Linked DNA regions of Arabidopsis thaliana. The protein of the gene in region 3 interacts with the protein of the main gene of each other region in a pairwise test. Each region holds a gene or a part of one and is shown on either strand. Other genes may lie near its edges.

What was found.
Region 1: the proteins of WRKY24 (region 3) and AT2G22880 interact in a two-hybrid assay, tested with the Arabidopsis thaliana proteins (2 studies listed by BioGRID).
Region 2: the proteins of WRKY24 (region 3) and PDE337 interact in a two-hybrid assay, tested with the Arabidopsis thaliana proteins (2 studies listed by BioGRID).

What each region holds. Positions count from the first base shown.
Region 1 is NC_003071.7:9,740,563-9,743,550, forward strand, and holds AT2G22880 (VQ motif-containing protein), read right to left. Parts: upstream 902-2,988; coding exon 557-901; downstream 1-556. Other genes in the region: EMB2001 (P-loop containing nucleoside triphosphate hydrolases superfamily protein), read left to right, coding at 1-62, 150-359; AT2G22890 (Kua-ubiquitin conjugating enzyme hybrid localization domain-containing protein), read right to left, coding at 1,938-2,777.
Region 2 is NC_003070.9:25,660,891-25,664,285, forward strand, and holds PDE337 (VQ motif-containing protein), read right to left. Parts: upstream 1,387-3,395; 5' UTR 1,290-1,386; coding exon 831-1,289; 3' UTR 597-830; downstream 1-596.
Region 3 is NC_003076.8:16,622,345-16,626,640, reverse strand, and holds WRKY24 (WRKY DNA-binding protein 24), read right to left. Parts: upstream 2,485-4,296; 5' UTR 2,422-2,484; coding exon 2,069-2,421; intron 1,139-2,068; coding exon 952-1,138; 3' UTR 664-951; downstream 1-663. Other genes in the region: AT5G41580 (RING/U-box superfamily protein), read left to right, coding at 1-78; AT5G41560 (DET1 complexing ubiquitin ligase), read left to right, coding at 4,022-4,105. UniProt on the Arabidopsis thaliana protein: Transcription factor. Interacts specifically with the W box (5'-(T)TGAC[CT]-3'), a frequently occurring elicitor-responsive cis-acting element.

The DNA.
Region 1 (2,988 bases), on a different chromosome or scaffold from region 3:
ATGCAAGTGTTCCTCCTCAGAAGATTGATCTTGATTGTGCTAATTGGCTTGGTCGCAACAATGTATGTGGTACCAATTCTGGCTTTTGTGTGTTCAGTGAAATGTTGCTTTGAGGACTTGTTAAATGACGTTTTTCGATGATTTTTCAGGTACCGATGACTTTCGTGTTTACGAAATGCGATAAAATGAAAGCAACGAAAGGGAAAAGACCTGATGAGAACATTAAAGCTTTCCAACAAATCATTAGAGAGAATTTTAAAGTACATCCTCCTTGGATTTTGACGAGTAGTGTATCTGGTTTAGGCAGAGACGAGCTTCTTCTTCACATGTCGCAGCTGAGAAACTACTGGGATCAATAGGTAGCGCGTAAATTTCGTAAACAAATGTTCGAAAAGGTCGGTTTTGAATCATTGGTTATATCAAATTGTAGTTTTGTAATGTAACAGTAACTTTTGTATTTAAAGATAAGATCATAAAGTGTTACTACTACAGTTCTAATTCTGATGAAACAAATTCATGAATTGCCGAAAAATTGGCAAGAATAGCTTCTTTCTTGCTACCATCTTGATAGATTAGCAGGACTAAGCAGAGGGAAAGCTTCCCAGAACCGAGATGACGAAGGTGAAAGATCAAACGCGAACGGATTATCCTTAGCTGTTGTTGTATCATCAGAAATCTTGACTGGTTTAGCTTCAACTTGATGTACCTCTTGCTCAACGTCTTCTGCACCAGTTAGCCTCTGAACTAACTCCTTGAAGTTAACAGGCTCGACTCTGTAAACTTTAGGATGCATCCTCTGAGGCAAGCCCGTTACGGGTTTTTTCCATGGCTTTGCCGGTTGCTTACGGGTCGAATGAAGTGAGGAGTTATGAGAGAAACATGGTTGTGAAGTAGCTTCCATGACGATCAGAAGTTTCTGTAATACACAAATGATTTGAAGCGAAGTGTCTTACCTTGATGGCTTTGTGTGTACACATATAAGTATTTATAAGTGTGTGGACGGCATTATTATGTCAACGTTTTGAAGCGTGTAAGTCATTTTGGGTTTTATGATCTTCTTTTGCGGCTTACTTGGTTTTTGACTTTTAAGTGAAATGAATGGGAACGAGATGGGATGATTCATGGAATTGAAATGTCAACGTGGGTGTGCTAACTATTTTTATTTTCTTGTTTATTTAAATGTTAGGTGAAAAGCAATGAGTACATTTTTGGATTAACGTAGTTTTTGTTAAAAAATAATCTAGATGACATGGCAACGGTGTCATTAGTAACATGGCATTCATGTCATCATTATCATCAAATATGTGGTATCTAACGTCAGCAGAATATATAATTTTGCATATAATTTGATAAATTAGGTATGTAATTTAATTTTATTTAAAAGATTAAGTATATATTAACGCATAAGAAATTATTAGATATAAATTAAACATTTGAACTTTGGTTGGGTGGTATGAAATAAGGTTGTGCCTTAATTAGTTACCTTCCGTTAGGATCCTGAAAACTGTTTAGGTCCACAACTACACAATATAACAAGCAAACAAAACTTTTGCTTCCGAGTGTCAGAGTAAAAGCAATAATGTAAAGAGATATCTCGATAAGTGATGAGACTCAATTATCCGCATAGAAAAAAAAAATATGTATAACGGAGAAAGATATCCTATCTACAAACCTTGAATATCACTTTCCATACAATGCAAACATTTTAGAAATTGTTACATTTACCCAAAAATGATATATTAAACTTATCAAATCTATCACAATTGTGATCTACATGTTTTTAAGTAAAAGAAAACATTTGGTTTTTGACATATTATATCTTAAACTAAATATAAATTAATCTCGAAGCCGCGGCTAAAAAATCGAGTTTTTCCCACTTAAAGCGAAGAATATAGCTAAAAGTGACGGCTAACATTTGGATATGTCGGTTTCTTCCGTCATTCGTAGTTTGGCTCGGTCCATGACCTCGGTCTCACCCCAAGTTGGATATACAACACCATCTCCATTGCCTTAAAGACATTGCTTTCATCCAAAACCTTGTTCCACACCCCACTCACTACGCAGTAATTGTTGTTATACGGTGCTCGGTGATGATTCATGTGATGTATCCGTGAAACAAGAAGCCCAATGTCTTGCAACCCAACCACAAGAGGTGGAAGCTTGCTCTTCGTTCCATGAGCCCAAGCATGGAACAACTGACAAAACAATACACAAAATGCAAACATGCTTACAAAGCCATGAACCACATGGTCATCAAAAGCAAGGTCTAGTGGGAGAACTATCAAGGTTGTGCCTCGAGCCATAAAATGTAGATTGTTTGCAAATTGCCGTTTGGTGATTGTCCATGGACACTTGTGATGATCTTGAGAGTCTTCGATATGGATTCCTACTAGAGGCGTAGACTCATCACCGTAGTTATCGGTGGCCCAGTGGTACACACCAGAACCTAGATCTGCTAAGATATACCCGGCGAAACCGGCTAAAGATGGTTCGAGCCAGAGATGAGAACCAAATGCTCCAATGATTGATTTGGAAAAAGAGACAAACACGGTGGTGCAGCCAGCTGCAACCCATAACCGGTGAGTCCATGTAGATTGTAGAGTTGGGTCGTTGGAGAGAGGAGGATTCACAAGTCGTTGCTCAACAACAAGCTTCATCTCATGGTTAGGCTGAGAGTTGGTGGTGGAAGTGACACGGAGAAACGATGGACGGTGGCTTCTTGGGATGTTGTTTGTGATGGGATTTAGAGTGTATTTGGTTTGAAGAGATGTAGCCATTGAAGCAGAGTATGTGATGTCTGAAAAGATATATCAAGTTTCTTGTTTTTTTTTCCAAAGCTAAATAAAACAAGGATATGTTTTTTTTTGTGACAGGATAAAAAAATCATTTAAAAGAGATAATTTTGACCAAAGAAAGTAAGAGAGTATTGAGATAATAACATTCAAAGAAAATCTCAAAAAATTTGGATTAATTTATGAAGTTACCAAC
Region 2 (3,395 bases), on a different chromosome or scaffold from region 3:
GGGGGGAAAAAACATAGTGGCATGAATGATTTTTTTTTTTTTTTTTTGTCAACATGGCATGTTGATAACGGGCCTAGGATCTATATATGACAAATATAGAGATAAATATGTTTTAATAAGTTATTTGGGCTCAGGAAGAGGGCCCTAAAGGTCTATAACAAAATTATATCAAGAAAAGGACTCTTTTTTTAGCCTCTCCTGATGGTCTCAGTTTCAGATGAACTATCAATTTGTTGAGGTGAACATGCTACACTTAACAAAATAAAACACAATTTATTTAATTGTATGCCATTAGTTTCCAGTTTTTTCTACTTGGTTTTAATGTTTCCAAAATTTCTACTACTGTTTTACTTTGGGGAGGCTACTAGAAATCAATAAAAATAACTAATACTCATCTCCACCTTCAGTTTTACATTTTTTCTAGTTATAAAACTTCCTCAAAGAATTGTTAAGATGGCACATAGACCGTCATTAGAAAAACTTTCTAAGATGAGCTTGAAGCTCATTTTAATGCGAAGCCCAATAATGCATTTCTGGTCTTCAAATATTTTGTTGAAGCCCACACGTTGTCGCTGAGATTTATGGAATAATTTATGTAAAAAGAACAGGTAAACCCTTAACTTTCATGTTTAAAACAACCAAATACAGATATTAAGTGACATTGTTTTTAGTTTGTAAAGTTAAGTGACATTTACACCAACTAATCACAGTGAAACAACTTATGAACGAACGAATGAACAAACCAATTGTATACATATAAAATAGAAATCATAAAAGCATATTTTATGGGAAGTCTTATTGGAACTTTTTTTTTTTTTTGCTAAGAAGTCTTATTCGGACTTAAAAACCAAGGGTCGAAATGAATCGGTCCGGTTCGGTGACATATACATAAGTTGAGTTGGAGAACCAAACAAGGTCATCGAGCTCGGTGTGAACAACGGCATATCAGTTAACTTCTGTCGTTGTGTTCTATCCTGACTAAACGGAGCCGCCGTGTTATCATCCCCGACGTTAACCTCTTCCGTCACAACAGAAGAGGAAGATTCACTAGTGTTCCGTCTAATAATCTCGTCTAGACCCGTCAGCCTTTGAACCAGGGCCATGAAGTCTTCGGCACGCGTGTGGATCACTTTTGGAGAATGCGCGTAGATGATAACCGGAGATGCCCGTCCATGTGGTCGTGGCTTCGACTTGCAAGACGACGTTTTCTTGATGGTGTGGGATTCTCCGGCGAGTTTTAGCGACGAAGGACGTGAGCCGTTGATCTCATTGCATCTTGTTGGAATCATGGTAGGTGAATATATCAAGAGAATGGAGAATGAAAGATCAAGAAAGCTTTGAAAATAAACAGAGTTCTTGTTGATATAATACGTATATATGTAGAATTACATTTGCGTGTAAGTATGGTTAAAACTAAATAAATCGTATTTTATTGCAGCCAACGATTCTGACCGTTGACTTTATTTATTTACGATTACAGTTTTATAGTAAAACGGCCGTTGTCGTTGAATAGTATTATAACATGCCTCAGGTATATCCTGTTGATTATTAATTTCTAACACATCAAAAACTCAAGGGCCGAAAATCTTGAATTGCTCTTTTTTTATATGAAATTGCAAGCATTCCCCTTTGCAACTTTTCCACTTCTTCAAAAATTTAAAATATAGTTCAAGCGATTTTAGTTATTTCAGAAATAAATTGCAATATTATTTTGGTGGAGATGTCTTCATATTTGGTCATCTTTGAATATTACTGGCTGTGACCATGCAAGGTTGGCTGCAGATGGTTGAAATGGATTTACTTCTCTCCTTTTACGTAATAAGAAATTTATGAAAATGTTCAAAACTATCGGCTTTTAAAAGTATAAAATAAATAATTAAACCTACTTACAGGCAGCTGAAACCATTAATCTATTTGTTATCCCCAAATTGCTGGGTATTATAAATTATATCATGGACATTGTTTTCTTGTATATATACATTAATTCACCCTGTTGAAATAAATAAACAACAGACGATATTTCTTTTGCAATTGGGCAATTTAAAATCTTACGTACCTATTTTTAGACAGAATCGGCTAATTGAGCTTCTTGTATGTGAATATCAATATCCTCCTACTCTGAATTTTTGCTTGAAAAGAAGATAAATGTTCTGTAATGAAAAAATGTATGAAACTTCTTTTCTTCGAGAAAAAAAGATGTACGAGTTTCGGCTAACAATCATCGATACGTTCAATGATTGCAACAACTAACAAGTAGCTCGGGCTATTTAACACAGTTTCCTAACTACAAGTATACAAAATATATTTGTTTTTTTGTCCGCTTAATTAACTATAATACTCCATGTCCGATGAGAAATCGAACACAACTTGTAAAACACTTATTGTTTATCAAAAGTCAAAAGCCTTTTTGTACATATTAAACTTTCCATTACTAAACCAAAATAGTTTTTTTGTTTTTGTTTTGTATCAATGTTGTTAAACCAAAATAGTTTTGTGAAATAACAAGAGTCACAAGACTTACAAAGTCAGCCTCTTTGTCCTCATCGATCCGTTAAAGACCTATTAGCAACTACTAGTTGGTACATACATAGATTATAATATACTTTCACCAGCATGATATAACTCACACTTATCATCTTATTCAAAGGGCTTACCATACCCAGAGAATCGAAAACAAATAAAAAACTTAATCCAACCCCAAAACCACTCTTGTAGTCCTTTTTCCTTAGCTTAGATTGTAATTTTTTTTTTTTTTTCGTTTTTTTTAGCAGTTTTCATTCAATTTTTCTAGTGAGTTTTAACTAGAATCTCCATTTGATGCACAATATGCACCAACAAAATCTTGTGCAACACCACATGTTAGCTTGTAACACACAAATATTTCCTTATGGGTTCTAACTAGAAATTAAGAAAGAAAGAAAAAATCTGGTCCAGATGCTATCAGTAATCCTGGTAAGCCCAAAAATGAGCCCAAATATCATCAGGTAAGATGAAGTAAACACATTTGTACGGATGAAAGCCCGAGCAACAAGTCACAAGCCAAAACTTATATAGAATTTTAAATTGGAAAAGCTGAGACCTCGAGATTATAGGATCACGCGTAAACACACCACCGCACGCGTACTATTGCATCATGTAGCTAACATTTGGATCTAACTCTGCCTATTGTTATTGTTTAGGCACTGTCATATTTAATGGAACCAAATTATTATGCGTCGGGAAAGAAAAACTCAAATAAATTAATACTACTACTTGAAGGACCGATTCAATTTTCAATAAAATTTGGCCTTTATTTCAATATTTCTTACACACCTCGGATCTCTCCCATCTACTGTTTGTTTTTTTTGTCTGTTCGTTGTCCCTTACGTTTGTACGTACATTTCTTTGTTATTTTA
Region 3 (4,296 bases):
GAGACAGTTTTAGGAAACCGAAACCATCCGGTGCCCGCTCCTCCTGGCATTGTTAGGCCTACTGGACCGACATCTTGATGGAGAACTTGAGAGGCTAGAACAAGGGGAAGTTGGTACTTAGGAGTTAGGACACAACACTTAACATAATAAATTAGTAACTTTATCACTTTCCCACGCCATGAACAGAGTTTAGGATTCCGGTGCGCAAGTCGTATTCTGTTTATGAGGGATTAGTTTGTATTTAGCTTGCTGTTAACTTGTAATGACGATCAAACTATAAGTGTTATCAATTACTCTTGTACCCAATAAGTTCCCTTAGTTTTCTGAACTGGTTTTTTTTTGCCCAGAACTAGTTTGAGTTAGTTAGGTTTTGGATGCAAAGTGTTTTGGTTTTCTTGTGTAAGACATTTATGCATAAAGGACCATAATACATACTTTGGCCGGTTTAGTGATGAATTTTGGGATTTGAAAGAGTAATCACAAACAAAAATCGACAACGTATCATCTTTCAAATGTCTTCCGGTTGATTATTTGTACAAGTTTTCTCTCTCTCTGAAGCATGTTTTTCTTCTTTAGAATTCTCTAGTTACCAAATGTCTGGACCCTAACTTCTCTCTGTTAAGTATGTAGAAAAATATCAAAGAAGTTGTAGAGAATGAGGGTGGGTTTAATGAAGTTAGAGGAAACTACCTTTTCATACTTACATATGTAACTAAACTTGTTTTGTCTGGTATTTGTCAAATCATCGGCGTAAACCGATCATAAACCAGAAATCAGGGGATAAAATTCAGAAACATTTGTAAAAAGTCGTAACTGTTACATTGGTTTAAAATCTGATCTACACACTTGTGACTTGTCACTTGGGAGATGTGGGTCGTCAAACGGTCAGTGGGGTGATTAACACCTTAATCACCTTTAAGTAATTACACCATTAATTAAGCCATTATATATTCAAAGATTAGAGAAACTGGAGAGGAACTGGAGTTGCCTGAGAAGAGGATTAAGAGTCTCCATGAGCTTCTCACAAGGATGGTTATGAACGCCTTCGTAGGTCGTTACGACGACGTTTGGATCTTTTGCCAATCTCTGCACTTGTTTCTTCACGTTGCATGTGTGGTACGTACATCTGTAATAGCTCCTGCATTTTGTGACACAAGATTAATAGTTTCATCTATTAATTCTTCAAATTTTTTTTTATAATTCATATGAAAAATAAGTAGAAGTTTTGGGTGTCTATGCAAGACTGATTTTAATTTCTATGAAGTCTCATGAAACTATTTTTTTTTTCTATTTTTTGCTAAGAACGTAAATATCATATAAAATGAAGTAGAATTGGATTTATCTCTGCTTTTGATTCCCTAGCAAAAAGGAATAAAAAACAAGGAAGCAAATTAAATTACTTTTCATCTGGATGAAGTTTTCATATATATATGAGCCATAAGCCCATAAGAAACTATATATTTTATACTGATCTAGAACTAATTAAGATCATTTTCTTGACCAGAATATTGATGGATACATTATACATATTTGAGTAAATCATCCCTTTCCAAACAATTTCATACTCGGATGTGGTAGCACATAAAGAGAATCCCTATATCAGGTTTATACATGTTTCTAAGATTATATAATTGCACAATAATTAACTATATTATAGGATAATCAAATTATCAGAAAAGAAAACTATAGGATAATCCTTTTTTAAAAATCACATCTATTCTCATGCTTTGTTTTCGAAAATTATCATCACATCATAAATTTTCGAAAAGTACGTACGACAGATTTCGTTATAGGCTTTAGTAAGGGATTGATTTCGTTATATAACTATTACTAGCTAAACCTAAAAACTATGGTATTTTTGCAACTAAAAGATACATTTTCTACATATATCAGTTTAATGTTAAACACAAGACTAGATCGTACTGGTTGTTAAGCTAACCTAATGTTTTGTAGCCACGAAAGTTTTTGGTCGATCCAATATTTGGAAATCAATTTTAATATGATGTCATAGATTCACGAATAAAATTATAAATACTCTTAATTAATACAACTATATAGGTAAAAGTACCTGGGATGAGCATTGTGCTTGACAGATTTCTGCCCATATTTTCGCCAACGATAACCATCATCAAGAACATCATCATCGCTCCTCGTATGAAACGCAATCCTTGGAACTTTCCTCGATCTCTTCTCTTTCAGCTCCTTCCCTTTCTCACCTATTTGATCATTCTCAGGTGGTAATGGCGGCGCATGCACATGAAAGCTTTCTGGATACCAAGAAGAAGAAGATGAAGGTTCCACTTCACCGGAAAATGTTGATGGAGGCATCATCATTAGGGTTTTGTCTACAAAGGAAGAGAAGGTGTTGTTGTTTTCGACATCTAGGCGGCTTAACATAGGATTTATGTCTTCTCTGTCCATTGTTATAAGTCTCTTTCTTTCTCTATCTCTCACAATATTTATAGATGTGTAATGATAGATTGTGAAGAAAAAAGAAGGAGAAGAAGAAGAAGTAAGGGTAAAAGGGCATTGAGGCCAACTAAGTTCACCTAATTTTCTGTTCAACTGCTTTTTACCTCCATTTAGTTTCCTTGTGTTATTAAACTTTTATTATTATCTCCCTCATTTTTCCTATCTCTTTTTTTCTTCTTTTTCTTCTTTTTTATATGAGAGATTTGTATTGGCTTGGTCTAATATGTCGACATGTGGTTATATTTCAATAAATATTTACTACTCGAATATACGTACCTAAATATCTTTAAGTAATTAGTATTAATTAGTGTTTTTAGTCATACCTCACATGTATATGTTAATTAAAAGTTTCATAGATCATCAATTGTACTTGATTCAACTATATATTTTAAGTGACTTTTGTTTTTGTTTTTCTTTCGAACACACATGATATACTGTACGATCATATACTAGTAAACCATTGAATCCTATCAATTTAATTGAACTTATAGTGGAAAGGTGTAGTAGACATTGCATACATACATCATAAAACGTATGTTCAGGTTGAATTTAGAGTCAAAATCAATGTAACTTGGTAAAATGCTAAGTAGAATGATTTAGTTTCCTTGTTTTTTTTATGTATCTCATACAATTCAAGTGGCGTGGCTCTAAATTTAATACGGATAAGCGACTAATTCAACATAAACATGTTATTATGGTTGTAGTGGTTAAGAATCTTATTTGACCCCCAAAATAAATCAAGCCTTTTAACTCTATAAACACGTGGAAGTTTCCTTTGACCTATAATGAATGCTACATATGTAAAAAACCAACATTAATCTCACTGAAAGACATATATGCGAAGAAGAGAGTGCATGTGTTTTTCTTTCTTCCTCATCTTTTTCAGACTCTTTCTTAAGGAAAAAAACAGTGAAATTACACAATTGAAAGATAAATATTTTCAGTTTCGATGGTCATCGAAGGAAGATGGAATTTTATTAATTCATATTTATGAATGAAAGTGAATTGAGATCAAAATATAAAAAAAAATTAATCAATTTGACTAGTCTAGAAAACAATTTTGGAGAATACTTACGAAATCAAATTCACTTATCGATTCTATAAAAATATAACACTCCAACATAAACCATCCGCAGATTCCATAATTTTATTTTCACTCGCACAAATTTGAAAATAATTTCTTAATAGATTATATCTTGAACCGATTAACTCAAATACGTTTACTAAAAAAATTTCAACACAAATTATAGAATCAAAAAGTGAACCTTGTTGATATAGGCACTTAATTAATTTTCTTGAAATATTCCTATGAACCATAATTGTTTATTCATATTTTTTTTTTCTTTTTTTGTAAATAAATTGTTTCTTTATTCATATTCATATATAAAAAACAGAATCTCTATTGTTATTTAGAGAAACATTAATTTGAAGCTGGTTCTAGAGGTAGGCCCAATGGGCCCATAAACCCTTTTTCGTTTCTCCCTTTTATATCTCTCGTCTCTCTCTCTCTCTGTCTGAAGAGAAGGAAAGATCATCAATCACGATTCCAATGGCGTCGATTCTGGGTGATTTGCCTTCCTTTGATCCTCACAATTTCAGTCAACATCGTCCCTCCGATCCTTCTAATCCCTCTGTTAGTTTCTTCCCCCAAATTCAATTTTTCAATTTTACGGATCTGAGTTAGGCTTTACTTGGTCGTATTGGAAAAAAAATGTGTCCTTTGTTGATTCAAAGAGATGTAATTCGAATGTGTATCTGGGTTTTGCTGCTTACTTGGTCAGTTCCAAAAAGTTCCATCTTTTCAATTATCATCGAGTTTGCTGT